Linked DNA regions of Rhinolophus ferrumequinum. The protein of the gene in region 2 binds, or shares a complex with, the protein of the main gene of each other region. Links are inferred from orthologs where the notes say so. Each region holds a gene or a part of one and is shown on either strand. Other genes may lie near its edges. The genes, in order: NME5 and DYDC2.

Region 1 (7,986 bases), on a different chromosome or scaffold from region 2:
TGTGATTCTTAAGCATATTGGTGTGGGTTTTGTTGTTGTTGTTGTTGTTGTTGTTGCTGGGTTAAAAACTAAAAATCTCTTCTGTTGCAATATAAACCCTTATCTGACACATGCCTCTCCACAAACGGGAAGCTTCCTTCTCAGGTATGCTAGCTAATGCAGCACAATTATAAAAATTAAGGGCTCATATTAAACTAAAGTTAATACTGAATCAAGGATTTCCTTGGTTACTTTAAAATTAGATCAGGTAAAATTTCTTGGAATTTGGATGAAGAGTTTCACAAAGAGAAGCAATAACAGAAAGGAACAATTAGCTTGTAACAAAGTAAAGACTGCCACCTACTGAAAGGATATATCATTTTTCAGAAGGTTTTCCCTAGATGGGACAAGAAAGCCTCAAGTTCAATGGACTCCCAACTAAAATAAAGTCTACTTTAAAAGCATACTATACAAAGGACAAATATTATATGTTTCCACTTACATGAGATATCTGGAATACTCAAAATCATAGTGATAGAAAGAATACTGGTTACCAGGGGCTGGGAAGAGGGATAAACAGAGAGATAGTGTTTAATGGGTACAGAGTTTCAATCTGAGATGATGTAAAAGTTCTAGAAATGGATGGTGGTGATGGTTTCACAACTATGGGAATGTACTTAGTTCCACTGAACTCTACAACTAAAAATGGTTCAAATGGTTAAGCTGCATGTATTTTGCCACAATTAAAACCAAAAAAAAGCACACAATACAGCAAGGGCTTCTTGGTCTGAAATTCATTGCTCACTAGGTAAAATGCAAAATATTAGCATTTATATTAATTTTTCATTTATGATTAACACTACCACTTAATTAAGTTTGTTTGTCACTAATTCTTTTTAAAATATGGACTTTTAAAAAACATAAATAGTATATCTTTATCTTATTCATATACTTCATTTAATTTTTTTCTAAAATTAAGGAATAATACACTTATAGGGTTAAAAAGTTCAAAGCAATATAAAAAGATATGTGCTGAAAAATCTCATTCCCCTCCCTGTCCTAATGTACTGTTCTTGCTCTCAATAGGCAACCATTTTTTAATGCTTATTTATCCTAGTGTTTCATTTTGCAAATATTAGCAAACATGAATATATATTACTTTTTTTCTTTCTATCACAAAAGATTGCTACACATTACATTTGTTTTTCCATAACAGGGCACCAAAAGGTTCCTTATTCTTTTTACAGTTAGTTGCATAGTATTCAACTTGGTGTCTTTGCCAGAGTTGATTTAACCATTCTGCTAATACTGGACTGTTTTCAATCTTTTGCTGGTAAATAAACAATGCTGCAAAAAGTAACCTGTATATATGTCACTTGATATTAATACACAGATTATGGGTGGAATTCCCAGAAGTAGGACTGCTGGGTCTAAGGGTAAATAAATACATCTGTAATATTGATAAATAATTGTCAGGTTCCCTTCTATGGGGGTTGTGCCATTCACTTTTACATTTTTGCCATATACTGTAGTAGCTCAGTGTCACTTTAATTTGTTTTTTCCCCCACTTATTGAGAATCTTTTCATATTTTCAAGAAGCATCTGTTTTCTTTTTCTCTGATCCTCCGTATGTTCTGCCCATTTTCAACTGAATTTTTATCTTTTTCGAGTTCTTTATATATTAGGGAGATTAGCCCTCTGTCTGCAATATGAATTGCAAATCTTTTTTCTAAGTTTGTCATTTGTATTTTGACTTTGCTTATAGTTTTTATTTGGCCATGCAGAACTTTTTTAAATTTATAATCTTATTAATCTTTTCTTTCATATTTCCTAGACTAAGTCATAATAAAAAATGGCTGTCCATTCCAAGAGTAAAGAAACTCATCCATCTTTTCTTCTAGAATTTGTATGGTTTAATTTTTTAATATTTAAAATTCCAATCCATTTGAAGTTTATCCCGGTGTATACAGTATCATACTTGAATACAACTTTTTTTTTAATGGCTACCTAGTTTTCCTAACAACATTCATTAAAAAGTTCATTTTTACCTGGGTCTTTTAATTACTATATTAAATATTTTCTTATAATTTCCTGTACATCTTTCCTTACATTTTCTTGTACCATCCTTACCCTCAGCCTCCACCTATCCTAAATTCAACTAAAATCCCATCTTTCCTAAAGATTGAAGTTTTCTCTTTTTTATTTTTTAAAACACTGATTAAATAAGTAATATTACATAAGAGACTAAAAACTGAAATTTCAAATAAGGATGGTACAAAAAAGGAAGATTAAATATACTCAATTCTATTTGATAATCTTTATTCTTTTTACATTCATTTTCAAACCTCTAACAACTGCAGAGCAAGTGTAAGGCTTAAAACATTAAATGTTTGTAATAAAGGAAAAAAATCCAAAAGTCTTAAAGTCCATCCATAGAGGACCAAATAAACAAATTGTGATTCATCCACACAGGGGTATATGAAACAAAACTTAGGAAGAATGAGTTACATTCAGATGTAATAATCTGAAATTGCTATCTGAGGGACTTTGTAAACAGGATCAAAGGTGGGGCACTGTCCTATTTTATGGGGGAAAATGTCTGGGAATACATAGAAAAATCCTGGAAGAACAGAAAGTATTAAGTCGTTGCCTCTCTCTGGAGACTGGGATGTGGCGTGGGTGAGGACAGGTGGAGGGAAAAGGAATTTTACTTTGCATTTTATATACTTTTGAAGTGTGACAAAACTTAAATACTATCACATGTAACTTTTATAGTTAGAATAAACCTAAATTTAATGCTAAATTAATGCTAATACATAAACATTAAAAAAAAGGATCAATGAGAGAAAAGAACACAATGATCATGCCCAGAAGTTACCTGAACAATGGTGAATCCAGATCTGAGAATAATATCTTGTATCTCCTCCTCTTTGTCAACAATATCTGGTTTGATAATGGCCAGAGATTTTTCTACGTATATCTGAGGTGGGGGCATCGACAGCTCCATTGTGGGTTTTCAGGATATAATTTAAGAGTCTTGACAGGTATCAACTGCAATGATATGCAATCCCAACCTCAAATTTAATGTAATTATGATTAAGAACAGCATTGTTAGGCGCCTGATTTTATTAATTTATATAAACTTAGAAACTGCAATCTTTTTCTATAAGCAGTGTCTGAACACAGGCATACCTCGAAGACATTGCAGGTTGTCTTCGATCGCAGTAAAGCGAGTCGTTCTCTATTTGATGGTGGAGAGTCTTGCCTTCAGTTTGTAAAACACCCAATACCTGTGAATCGCCTAAAGCGCAATAAAATGAGGTATGACTGTAATACGATTTCTACTCTGCAGTTAAGCCGTGCCTTAGGCTTTCCTAAACATTTTCATCAAGGTGGAGAGGCCACAGGGCAATCCAAAGGCCTGGGACTCGCGCAGACTAAGGCAGCAGCTGGAGACCGGTTGGCAACTCTCCGCGATTCTCCAGCTGCAGGTTGAGCAGCCTCGCCCCACCCCGCCCCGCCTCGCCGGGACGGCTATGCATAGGGTCAGGTCTGGTTGGAAAGTAGCATCCCTAAGTCCCCGGACTTCTCCCGGCTGCACCCGCAGATTCCGAGTCCGACCTTCCGTCGTGTACTCACCTCAGCACTCACTCCTCAGGTGCGACCACAACTTATTGCTAGGAGACCCGAAGCCCAGCTGAGGGACGGTGGCTGCAGAGGGCCAATCCGAGCAGCGTCACTTCACAGCCTCTTACCGGTTCAATCATGAAAGGGAGCCAGCCACAGGTAGTTTTATCCCCCTTAAGAATCTTAGAGCACTAGGCGTTTTCTTACATTTTCCTCATAATTCATCCTATTTCACCCTCCTACTCATTTTAAGGCTGCTTCAATTATCTCCATTTTATAAACGATGAGACAAATCATAATCACCCCCTCCTCACCCCACCCCATCACTTTCCAGACAATGTAAGAAAACCCACGTCAAATAGCTTCATTTCACCAGATGATGCTATCCCCTCTATTCCCAGCTTCTGTAATCATTAAAAAGCAGTCTTCAACTTGTGGTATAACATTTATTTATAGAGCAGTAATAAGCGGTTTAAACTAGTTACCTCTAAATTAAGCCTATGGAACAAGATACGGGCAACATTTATGGTATAACCCCAAATCACAGCTTGCCCCTTTTCCCTTATATTTTGTCCACAGGTACCTTTGGTTGTGAGTTAAGGCCTTATTATTAGAAAAGACAACAGGGAAATGATAGACAAGTGCTGGGACCTTCTCTGGGTCAGAGTCTCAATGAGAGGTCCAAATTTCAGAAAGGGTCAGGGTAGCAGCTCCAGGTTAACCAAACAGGTTTTCCATCACGCACTGGGTTGGCTGATTCTCATTCTGGACTATTTAAGTCTCTTCTTTTGACTAACCAAGTACTCAGCACCTATAGGGTCAAGGCAGAAGCAAACTATGAGGCTTAAAAGCTACAGAGGTTTGAATGCAATTTTATTTTTCTGCAATGAGATCTGACTACGTTTTTTCCTTAAAAATATGATGCTACCCAGAAAAGAAACCTTCAGATGTTTTCTGATTACTGTGTCTTATCCCCGTATCGATGGGACAGTGTGAACATACATTAATATCAACAGGTGTAGCAACCAAAAAATGGACAGTGACTCCAGCCTCTGGTTTGCATGTTTAGCACTCTGGCTTGAGGCTCTGGAAGCAGGAGCTCCCATTACCATTACAGCCCTCTTCAGAGCTCTTCAGCTGCCTGCCTTCCTAGACTACTTTGCTTCACTATTAAGGCTGGTCCTACTGAGGCTCCAGGTTTTCCAAACCAGTACGTACAAGGTCAGTCCTTCAGGGCCTTGAATCACCTCTAAATATAAAATCTGGAAACACTTCAACATCACCCTTATTCTCACTTTCTAAATCAGGTTCCAGAGATTACACTCCTTTTTCAGGCAACTCTCTACATACAGTACCTGAATCTGCTCCAAGACTTCTCGCTGCATCTCCACAGCCATATGGTACACATGATGATCAGAGTCATTGTACATCACAGCATTTTGGAACATCAGCATCAGGTCCCGCTGGAACTGTGCCATGGTGCGAATCCGTCCCTTAGACAGATTCCTTTTCAGGGTCGTTAAGTCCATGGGTCTACAGGTGGCCAAGAGAAACCAGAGGAAATCAAACCTTCATGTAGAACATGTGGTAACCTAATATGCTGTCTTGGAGAACTAGCTCTTAATGAAAACAATCCCCAACAGTTAATATAAAAAGCAACAGCTTTTTTAAAAAAATATCATTGGACTGCTACTACTTACAATAGGCCAAGCACTATGTTAGGTAACTTTCTATATTAACTCCCATAAACCTCCCAATTAACCCATAAAACAGGTACCATTATTATCACCAATTGGCAGTGAGGGAACCGAGATCTAAAGAGGGTAAGTACTTGCTCAAGGTCACACAGCTTGGATTCCAATTCAAAGGCAGCCTGACTCCAAAATCCACAGGCCCAGCCATTGCATTCTACTACTGCAGGAGTAGTGGTGACCCCAGGTACTAAATTTGTAAAGAACTCCAACGATCAGTTTGTCATATGGTAGTTAACAACTGTTTACAATGTATAGCCATATACTAGGCATTAACATACTTCTCTTATTGCATAATCAAAAGCTAATAAGTTTTTTCTCCTTTCATGGAGATGAAGAGTGAGAATCAAGCAAATATTAAGACAATTTTTTTTTTTAAGATTTTATTGGGGAAGGGGAACAGGACTTTATTGGGGAACAGTGTGTACTTCCAGGACTTTTTTCCAAATCCAGTTGTTGTCCTTTCAATCTTAGTTGTGGAGGGTGCCGTTCAGCTTCAAGTTGTTGTCCTTTCAGACTTAGTTGTGGAGGGCGCAGCTCAGCCCCAGGTCCAGTTGCCGTTTCTAGTTGCAGGGGGCACAGCCCACCATCCCTTGGGGGAGTCGAACCGGCAACTTTGTGGTTGAGAGGAAGAGCTCCAACCAACTGAGCCATCTGGGAGCTCAGCAGCAGCTCACAGCTCAAGGTGCTGTGTTCAATTTTAGTTGCAGGGGGCGCTGACCACCATTCCTTGCGGAAGTTGAGGAATCAAACTGCCAACCTTGTGGTTGAGAGGATGCGCTCCAACTGAGCCATCCGGGAGGCAGCTCAGCTCAAGGTGCCATGTTCAATCTTAGTTGCAGGGGGCGCTGCCCACCATCCCTTGCGGGAATCGAGGAATTGAACTGGCAACCTTGTGGTTGAGAGCCCACTGGCCCATGTGGGAATCGAACCGGCAGCCTTCGGCGTTAGGAGCATGGAGCTCTAACCGCCTGAGCCACCGGGCCAGCCCTTAGTTTTTTCCTAAGTAGCAGGCAATTTCTTTTATTTTTTTTCAAGGAGGGCACAACTCACAGTGACCCATGCAGGGATCGAACCAGCAACCTCGGTGCAACCAGCACCACGCTCTAACTAACTGAGCTACCTAGCCACTCCAAGACAAATTATTAATGAGACCCAGACAGTGGGTATATAAGGGAAGGCACAGCAGTGTAGAAAGAGAACTGAATGGGGAGGTAAGAATCTGGGGGTCAGTTCCAGCTCTGCTAGGCACTGTTATCACAGACAAGTCATCATCACCTCTGAGCTTTAGTTTCCTCGTCTATAGAACAAGTCTGTCTCCAAACGTCTTTTCCTGACCTTTTATACAGTAACACACTGGTTTGTGACAGTATTTTAGATGAAATATGCTATAAAAATAAAAAATACTGCAATCAACCAATGTTGGTCACATCATTTGGATTATCATCTTTGCCTTAGCATATGAGTACCTATAACGACCAGAATGAATACAGCGTTCCTTTTAAAGTTTTGCTCCAAAAAACAGTGTCAAAAACTACCAAAGGCTAAGATTATAATGGATCACATTACTTAAAAATCAACACTGGGAAAAAAAGAGCCTGCATTATCCTTGTGTTCCCTGCATTCCTTCTCAAAAGCAGACTGAACACACCATAACTTTGCAAACTTGTTCAGCTGTAAAATACATCTTGAGTTTGTAAGTAATGTAAATGAAATAAGAAATAATCTAATATATGGGAAATAAAGTACAAAAAGACAGATATAAAAGCAAGAAGCCTTTCTTGACCCCTTTTCCACTGACCTTTTCACCACATCCTTGTATCCTGGGGCCTGCCTTTCTGACACAGGCTTCAGAAATGGACCACTGAACCTGTTAGGGGACAAACCCAGAATGTAAGAAGAAACCCTGGAAAGTCACTCTGAATAAGAAGAGTGGCTGTGAACACGAAGAATGGCTTGGAGACCTACCTGTGACTGGCAATCATCTTCCAGACTGACAGGACAGTCTTCTTAAATAGCAAGTGATCCTGAACAGGATCGCTCTGGCTTAAATCAGACCTATGGGATAACACGACAGAAAAGAAACAGTAACTTCGCAAAGGGCATTCTGCCTCCCCCAGGTGGACATGAGGCTTTCTCAAGACACACTGCTCCTAATTAACATCTGAAGGAAATGTAATACCGTAAGAATATGAAGATATTTAATGCTTCCATAAGGGACCCCAAACTCTATAAGTGTTCTCTTACTGATCACTATAACCCAATGAAGTGGTTACCTTTTATAAAATGTATTACAAATCTACAATTGCCTGGGCCTTTTGATCTCTTGCTGATTTTGCTCTTCAGCACCTGTGACTCTAAAGAACTGGTCTATGAAAGTAGTCTTTGTTCACTGATGTTTCCCAACTGCCTGGCACATAGTAGAAGCTCAATTAAGTTTTTGATAAATGAATCTGGTCCTGTTTTATGCAGAAATATGCCACATTAATAAGTATCTCTCTCACCCATATTTCCAGAGAAGGAAATATTTGATTACAGATTCCAAGGAATTCTCTTACGTTTCATCTGAATGCCACACAATTAAATATTTTTCCTTTTCGTTCTCCTCTGTATAGTAATCTTTAAAACA
Region 2 (8,408 bases):
AAACAGCTATTACAAATACTTTCAAAAGTTTAAAGGAGAAAAATGAACATAATGAGTGAAAAGAAAGGGTATATCAGTAGAAAAAAATTGGAAATAGAAATTTTAGAATTGAAAAGTACAGTATCCAAAATGAAAAAAAATTCACCAAATCTCTAAATAGGGCATCAGACATTGCAGAAGAAAGGGTCAGTAAACTTGAAGACAGATCAATAGAAATCATCCAAACTGAGGTACAGAGGGAAAAAGATTGAAAAATAAACATCGTCTCAGTGACCTATGAAGCAATAACAAGCAGTCTAATGTCCATGCAATTTCAGTCCCCGGTTGAGGTTGGAATCCTTTGAGCTTAAACTCTACTGGACACCTACCTCTACCTCCCTCTTTGCCCAGAAGCCCCAGGAGAGCATTCTGCAGTGGACCCCGTGGGGCACTGCCGAGAGGTCTGTGAAGATTACCCACATAACCTCTAAGACCCCTCTAACTTCAAGTGCTGTGAGTCTATGCAGCATATATGTGTGCTAATTCTATAAAAATGTATTTCTAAAACATTTATATGGCTCAGATCTTTATAAACAAAGGGATTGCTTTCAGATTTAGAAACAGAATTATGGTTTACTTGCTCAAATCTGCCTCTGCTTAATGTAGAGAAACCAAGACAAGGGCCACTTACGCCAGCTTTCTTCGAGGTCTGACTCACAGGTCACCTCCTCTGTGAATCCCTTTTTGATTGCTATAATTGGATATGACCTCTACCAAACATAGTGCTCATTTCTACTCCTCTTTCGACATATCCACTGGACCAGTAGTATTCAATCTGGGCGACTCGAAGACTTTGTAAGGTATATGCAAGCAATGGTGGTTCGAAGATATTTTTTAAAATCTTGTAAAGCTTTGACTATGTGCATATAGGCCCGTCAGCGAAATCAAGTCTGCTGAAATCTTCTGCAACCCATCCTGGGCCTGTTTAAGACCAGGTTTTATAGCACTAGTGACACAGAATCTGAAGGTGATCAATAGCAAGGAATAGTTTGCAATTCACTTTTAGCCACCAAGAAACCAGAACTTAGAATCTTGTCTAACTGGATGTACCTCCACCTCTTGGCCCTTTATCCAGCTTTCCGTTTATACTAGCACAGTAACTTGCACTTAAGTGACACGGCTCTCCCTGGCCAAGTAAGCAATAAATTCAGCTTTGTTTTAGATCACTGTTGGGTTCTAGTTCCCTCTAACAAAGGGAATCATAACCACAACTCGGACATGAACTCTTTCTTAAAATTGAGCACTTGCACACGGTGCAGGCATCACGCTGACTCTCATTTTCCATCTTCCCTTACAACTGACGTTGTCTCACACTTGGACAAAGAACAGCATACATTTTACTCGTGTGATTCTTGCTAAGGAACATTGCCAGAGGACATAAAACCTCTTGAGTGTGCAACACAAAGGGACAATTCAAAAATATTGATGTGAACAAAGCTTTCTTTAATAAGGGCACCAGAAAACCAGGGTGGGGTTTTGGGAGTCTTTCCCTGCCTTATATATTTCTATTTCTATTAACAGTACAGTATGTTGTCAGAAAAGGATTTGAGTGGGCAGCAACGTGATGCCAAGTTTTGCCTAATGATCTCACCTCTACCCTCTCCCAACAACTATTCTAAGAACATTCCGAAGGGAGGGCTCACTTAGACTACTGTCTAACAATAGTATGAAACAATCTTTGTTTTGATTTATTTATAAAACATCCAGACTTAAAAAAATCTATTACTTGTTTATGAGGAAAGCTGAGCATATTTGTATACATGTAAATAAGCTTAATATTTTCATGTCTCATCAAAGTGGGCTTTGGAAACTAGCAAAAGCTAGTTAATTGTATAAAACTGCATTAAAGATTTTAATGCATGGGATATAGTGATAGTTATAAAGATGTCAGATATCAAGCCCAGTAAGTCAATTCCCTATCCAGATAGCACGTCCTTTGTAGGAAACGCAAAACGATTCCTTTATCAGAAGATTGTGGCAAAAATTACGGGATAGGAAACGTATGCCTGTCAGACCAATGAATGCTCAGTTGTCTCCAACTATTCCAAGTTAATAATTTATGACCACTATTACAGCATCACTGAGGTGGCATCTATGGCTTGATGCATAAATAAACAGCATATAATAAATAAGTAAGTAGTATATAATAAATAAAATAATATACCTGAAGTATATACTTATAACCATATTTGGTTTCTGAAAAATATTGAATAATTTTTGTAAAGGGCTCAAAGGATCTTGTATAAAAATATATTTGTTCCAAGTGACAGATTAGATTATTTGTAAATCTGATTTGCTTTAAACCAGTAACATCACAGGTATTTCCTAAACTCTAAAATGGAATTGCCTTTAAACATTTTCTTTTTCATTGACAATGATCTTATTGGCAAAGATTGTCATGTCGTGTCAATAAGATTGGCTTATATAGAAACATATGAACATGGAGGAAAAAGTAGGCTAATGGGGGCCTCAGTGTGTTTCGCATGGTGATCAGGGTGACGGTGGACTACCTAGAATCCATCACTGGGATGTGTGTGCTAGGTTTCTTCTCCTACCTGTGACACTTCACACTTCTGTTGAATCTGGCACTCTTCTTGCTTCAGCATTTCTGCCATTTGGGTTTCCTTGAGTCTACTGTCATCCTCTTCCTTCAGCTGGATCTTCTCTTGTCTATCCTGGGGAGATGTGACAAAGCTGAATCAGAAGCATGTACAAAGGGGCCCTCTCACTGGGACTGGCCTCAGGCCCATCAGGCTTCCTGAGTCTGCTTTTGTAACTAGCTTTAGCCTGCTAGTAGCTCCAAACCCACAAATTCTGTCACTCCTGTGAGCTGGATTCCTTCTTTAGCCTCTCCCAGGCTTCCTGCCCTTCTAGCATATCAGGGCCTAAGTTACCCTCACAAGCTGAATAAATCAAGAAACTCCCCAGGACAGCTCCAGAATCCTGCCTTGGATTTCAAATTACTCTGGCAAAGCTGGAAAGCCCTCCCCTAACCCACCCAGTGCGCATACACACCTACCTTTTCTTTCGCTTTAGTGATTTCCCTGTAATGATAAAGCCAGTGAGCCAGGTACTCTATGGGGTCACTGGGCCGAACCTTCGCCACCTCTGCTAGTCCCTGGGCCAGGCAATTTCCAAAGCACCTCTTCAGGTAGTCAGTTTCCATCCTGTGGGCTTGGGACATATCCAAACAGAGTCACACTATTTTACAAATCTAATTTGATTTTAAAAATAAACACATTCCATGAGACGTTTCTGGATCCCACCCTTCCCCAAAGAGTAAATAAATACAAACACACCACTAGCTCTTACACTCAAGTGGACTTTCTTCTAAAGCTGTGCAGCTGTCCTAGCAGAGCCCGTGACCAGCAGCAGCTACAATGCCCAGCATTTGCCATCCCTCTCCTCCCCAGGGCTTCTCAGTGGTCCCTTGTGAAATAAGTAAGCCTAGCTCACCTATGTCATAGAGACTGCAGCTCCCGACCTCACAAGAGCACAGCTTGCTGGGTGCTCAGAGCCCCTCTGGGACCTGTGCCTTCTCAGCTATTTCCTCTCCACTCAAGGGGAGAAATTATCCTAGGTCAGATAGTAATAGGTCCTAGGGGTCATCAGGCCTGACAGGAGCTTCACAGATTGGTGGTTCACGGTGGCTAAGGCCTCCACTTACCCACACATTTCTACCCTTGAGTGGAGAGGAAATAACTGAGAAGGCATGAGTCCTGAAGGGGCTGAGCACCCAGCAAGCTGTGCTCTTGTGAGGTCAGGAGCTATAGTCATCTGTGACCTAGATAAGATGGGCTTATTTATTTCACAAGGGACCACTGAGAAGCCCTGGGGAGGAGAGGGATGGCAAATGCTGGGCATTGTAGCTGCTGCTGGTCCGGGGCTCTGCCAGCACTAAACACCATATTCTACTCTACTGCTTAAGCAAGGAACTACTTTAGGTTGAGCTGATTCACTATTATTCAGATTTCAAGAGCTGGAGGCAGTGTAGCCTGCGTTAGACCACAGTGAGGAGAGGCAGTGTAGTGCAGCAGTATGAATACAGACTCTGGGATCAGACAGACCAAGTTCCTGCTTCTGCCATTTAATTAGCTGTGTGATCTTCAGCAAGTCACCAGCTCCTGTGAGCCTTGGTTTTCTCATCTGGAGAACAGAAGAACGAAAGTATGTGCCTCGTAATTATGAGGATTAAAGGAAATAATAAATGCATCTAAAGCACTTAGCCTGGCATATAGTAAGTGCTTAATAAATATTAGCTATTACAGTGGAATATTGTGATATGAAATGCCCTAAAATCTGGCCTATTCCTCACCAACCCCATGTTCCTGAAGTTTACATATCTTACCTCCAAAAGAGCTAATGATAAAGTGACTAATTAAGTCTCAGATCCAATCTGTAAGGGTGAAATTTAGGGAATCAATAATGTAGTTAAACTTAGCTAGTTTGCAGTTTAACTTACCGCATAGCTCACTATCCAGCCACCTGTAATTACACTTACTTTGTTTGCAGTTTGATCCATCCTGATATTCAGCTGTTTTCTCCTTGTTTCTCCCCTCACTGATTAGCTGAAGAACTCTGATTGTTCCCTTTCTCAAGGCTACCCATACCTCCTTAATCCATTTAATCAACAGAATCCCAACCTGGAAAGGGCAATTTCTTAATCCTCAGGTGCCCGGACACCGGAATCCAATTGACAACTCCCTCGCAGTTTTTACTGGTGACGCATTCAAGTCCCAGGCCTCGATGGCCGCGTCCCAGTCCGGAGATAACATTGTCTTCAAACAGACCAGACCCCAGGAAGGATGTCAGCCCTCGAACCTGCCTAACCGACTTCCCCTTTCCTATATAAGAAAAAGCTAACCTGAAGTTAGGAGCAGCTGCCCACTCTCAGATTCTAGACTCTGCCCCATGACACACACCCCACCTCCACCGCCACCACGCTGGTGTTTCTCTTCTGACAACCTGTGGCAGCAATCATTTTTGGACACTGCCATGGGCATTCTCTCTGTGCCCTAACTTCAATAAAAACTTCCTTTGTAGTAGAGTCTGTGAATGCTTTCACGTTTTGTGAATGCCCAGGGGTTAATTACACGCCACGACACAATCAACATTTTCCGGAGGCATTTTTCAGTTTAAAGAAGGAAAGCTAGATAGATAGATGATTGATAGATAGATATGAGTATAGAAAAATATATATATTTCCTAGCTCTTCCCATCGCAAAGTCCTAGAAGCAAAAACACCTCAGTAAGCAGCAAGCACACTAAGCATTCAGAACTTCTCCTTAAATAGCTGTCACCACTTAAAAGAGAAATCAGGACTCCTTGGAGTAAAATAAGAATTCATGAATCCACATAAGAATAAATAATTTCGTAATGTGATATACAGTAAGTTCTTTCTTAAAGTAGAATGCCAACTAATAAATGTGGAAAGAATAATGGAGTTTTTTTTTAAAAAATCACCATACTGTAACCACCATAGTATAACTGAATCAAGCCAGAATTATCTGTGAAGACTAAAACTCAGACAACATTTGACAAGGGATAGGATATTTATATAATCTCGAAGTTTCTCCCCTACAAATTATGTATTACTTTCCAAGGGAAATACAGAAACTTTACAGTGATAGAACCTGGTCACCACAACTTTAACCAGAGGATCAAAGTAAACATCCCCAATAAGGGGCAAAGTGACATAGTGTGTCTCCTGATGTGATACACTTCTTAGTGGGACATAATACACTTCTGTGGATTCCTGCCCCCAATGCAAAACTTGAATCTGATTGAGGAAACATCAAATAAAGTCAAATTGAGAGACAGTATACAACTGACCTGTACTCTTAAAAATGCCAAGGTCATGAAAGACAAGAGGAGGAGCCATTCCAGATTAAAGGAGCCTAAATAGGCATGCAATACATGATCCTTGATTGGATCTGGACCAGGAAAAAAAAAGAAAATTCCATAATGGACAGTGTTAGGAAAATTGGATAAACTGAACATGAATTGTAGACCACATAATAGAATTAAATCAAAGTCAAATTTCCTGGTTTTGGTAATTGAAATATGAGTAAGAAAATGTCCTTCATTTAAGGAAATACACAGTATAACAGGGATGAAAAATGGCTCACAAAAGTGTCTAAGTCCTAATACCTGGAACTTGTAATGTATGTTACCCTATATGGAAGGACTTCGCAGATGTGATTCAATTAAGAATTTTGATTTAGGGAGATTATCTGAATTATCCAGGCAGGCCCAATGTAATGACAAGGGTCTTTATAAGAGGGACACAGTAAGATCAGACAGAGAAGGAGATGTGATGACAGAACAGAGGGAGAAAAGGTGATGTGATTCGGAGCCATGAGCCAAGGAATGTAGGTAGCCTCTAGAAGCTGGAAAAGGCGAGGAAATGGATTCTCCTCTAGAGCTTCTAGAAGGAACGAGCCCTGCCAATACTTGGTTTTAGCGCTGTAAGACTCATTTTAGATTTCTGACTTCAAAAACTTTAAAAGAATAAACGTGTACTTGAAGTCACTAAGTTTGGGGTATAGGGATTCAGAATGAGTCACCCCAAGATGTGCCTCTATGGCACGCAGATTGTTTTGAGCTGAAGGCAACCTGTGGGCTCAAGAGAAACTTCTGCCCTTCCCACTTAACTACCTAGAACTTGAATTAGGGGCCTTGCCCATAATAAGAGATTATCAGAGATAACATTTTTTGACCAATCGGTAGGGCAGGGAAAACTTCTAATTACTGAAAATCTCTTCATCTGTCTCATCTCTAATTGATTATTAGACCAGCTGAAAAAACCCTGAGCGTAGAGGAAAGTTTCCTCCTCTCCCACAGGGATAGTGGTGAAGTTGGAGACAGGGGTATATGTTGTCTCTTTCTGCTAATCTGTGGTCCACCTGAACCAATGCACTTGGATAAACTACCTTCTACATCCCCTGGGGGCTTGCATCACCTGGGGGCTTGCTGAAATGCAGATTTTCAAGGTCCATACCAGGCCTAATGATTCAGTCTACAGTTTAACAAAATCCCCAGGTGATTCGAAGTCACAAGTCTACTTTGCCTTTATCATTGTAGAACTGCCCTTCCCAGAGAGTCGAATTATCAATTTTGCATTCCCAGGAAGCCTCTCTACTTCCAGTCCTTGGGTGGCTGTCACCCTTTCTGGAGGAAGCATCTGCTCCAAATTGCACATTTTCAACAATGGTCTCAATGAAATATGTTGATCTGACAGTTACTAAGACTTGATGCAAAGACAGCAGAGCCACAATAACAGTGCCACAATGTAAGGCCTGGAGAGGGAGGGGGCAAAGGGGACTTTTACAGCCCACTCCCGACCAACTCCGGGCACACTCACCAAGCGGGAGGGGGCTATATTTTGGAGTCTCCCAGAGCTCTTCAGAGGGTCTGAAGGGTCCCCTTGCCCATGGCCTTGCACACAGTAGGCAGAGCAATAAGCATGGAGAGTATCTTTGTTCACACTCTATTCCCAGTGCTAGGCACACAGTGTGTGCTCAGTAAATACTTCTTCATCTGCCAGGGCTCTGATGCTTGTGAGCCCACCCAGACAAGCTGTCATGCAGGGTGTCAGGCGGAGTCTCTGGTCCTGCTCCCCACATAAGAACACAGGAAATGGTGAGGCCAAAAAGGAACACCCACAGAGCCATAGATAGGGGAGTCATACCATTATATTCTCGCTGGTGGCTGGGTTGGAGACACAGGAAACAGGATCCACACGACCTGCAACCTGCTGTCCGCTTCTCTGTCAACCAACCAACCCCACTTGCTAGCTGCACTCCACCGTGCTAACTGCAATCCACTCTGACTAGCTCAGCCACCATCCTCTTGCTAGCCTCCATTTGCTGCTAGCGTAGCCACAGCAGTTATATTAGTGGCCAATGGCTCACTGGTTACAGCTGACGGCCAACTAGCCACAGCTGATGGCCATCCAATCGCAGTTGATGGCCATTTGCTAGCTGAGCCAGCACCTTTCCACGTGACGCGGAGAGCCTGGAAACTGCACTCCTGGCTCTGTCCCCACACAAGCTCATGGTCCCTTCAGTCAGTGCCCACTCTGGCACTTCCAGCGTTCAGTGAGGCATCTCCCGTCCAGTACTGCCTGCCCGGCACGTGAATTAAAACAGAACACTCCCGGGATATACTAGCAGAGTATTGGGCACAAGACCAGGCCAGGGAAAACTGCAATGGCTCTGACCTGGCAGAGGTTGGATGGCTTCCCGGAGGTGAGGGCACCTGAGCTGGTTCTAAAAGCCACCAAGCAGAAGTTACCAGCAAGTGCAAAGGTGTGAAGTCGTGAAAATACCGGGCCACAGAACTTGCAGTGATTGTCTCCGCTGGCCCCG

The links.
Region 1: the proteins of DYDC2 (region 2) and NME5 are in contact, whole or in part, in a cryo-EM structure (PDB 8X2U), measured with the Mus musculus proteins. The link is inferred for Rhinolophus ferrumequinum from reciprocal best matches to the Homo sapiens genes DYDC2 and NME5. Residues at the interface, in NP_001347537.1 of Mus musculus: Asp2, Tyr5, Leu6, Cys9, Phe10, Gly13, Leu14, Leu18, Val21, Ala22, Arg23, Val24, Arg25, Pro26, Asp28, Pro29, Ile30, Glu31, Leu33, Ala34, His35, Leu37, Tyr38, Tyr40, Arg41; in NP_542368.2 of Mus musculus: Arg140, Ala145, Val146, Ile147, Ile151, Pro152, Ala156, Ala157, Tyr160, Ile161, Tyr164, Val165, Thr168, Leu169, Leu173, Leu176, Cys177, Lys180, Pro181, Asp183, Pro184, Tyr185, Leu186, Leu188, Ala189, Asp190, Leu192, Met193, Asn196, Pro197.

What each region holds. Positions count from the first base shown.
Region 1 is NC_046307.1:13,294,674-13,302,659, forward strand, and holds the start of NME5 (nucleoside diphosphate kinase homolog 5), read right to left. Parts: upstream 3,676-7,986; 5' UTR 3,619-3,675; intron 3,612-3,618; exon of another isoform or gene 3,172-3,611; intron 3,031-3,171; 5' UTR 2,987-3,030; coding exon 2,858-2,986; intron 491-2,857; coding exon 482-490; intron 1-481. Other genes in the region: bromodomain-containing protein 8-like, read right to left, coding at 4,367-4,417, 4,962-5,139, 7,159-7,227, 7,326-7,415. UniProt on the Homo sapiens protein: Functions as part of axonemal radial spoke complexes that play an important part in the motility of sperm and cilia. Does not seem to have nucleoside diphosphate kinase (NDPK) activity.
Region 2 is NC_046299.1:56,292,772-56,301,179, reverse strand, and holds the start of DYDC2 (DPY30 domain-containing protein 2), read right to left. Parts: upstream 3,213-8,408; 5' UTR 3,206-3,212; coding exon 3,059-3,205; intron 2,715-3,058; coding exon 2,595-2,714; intron 1-2,594.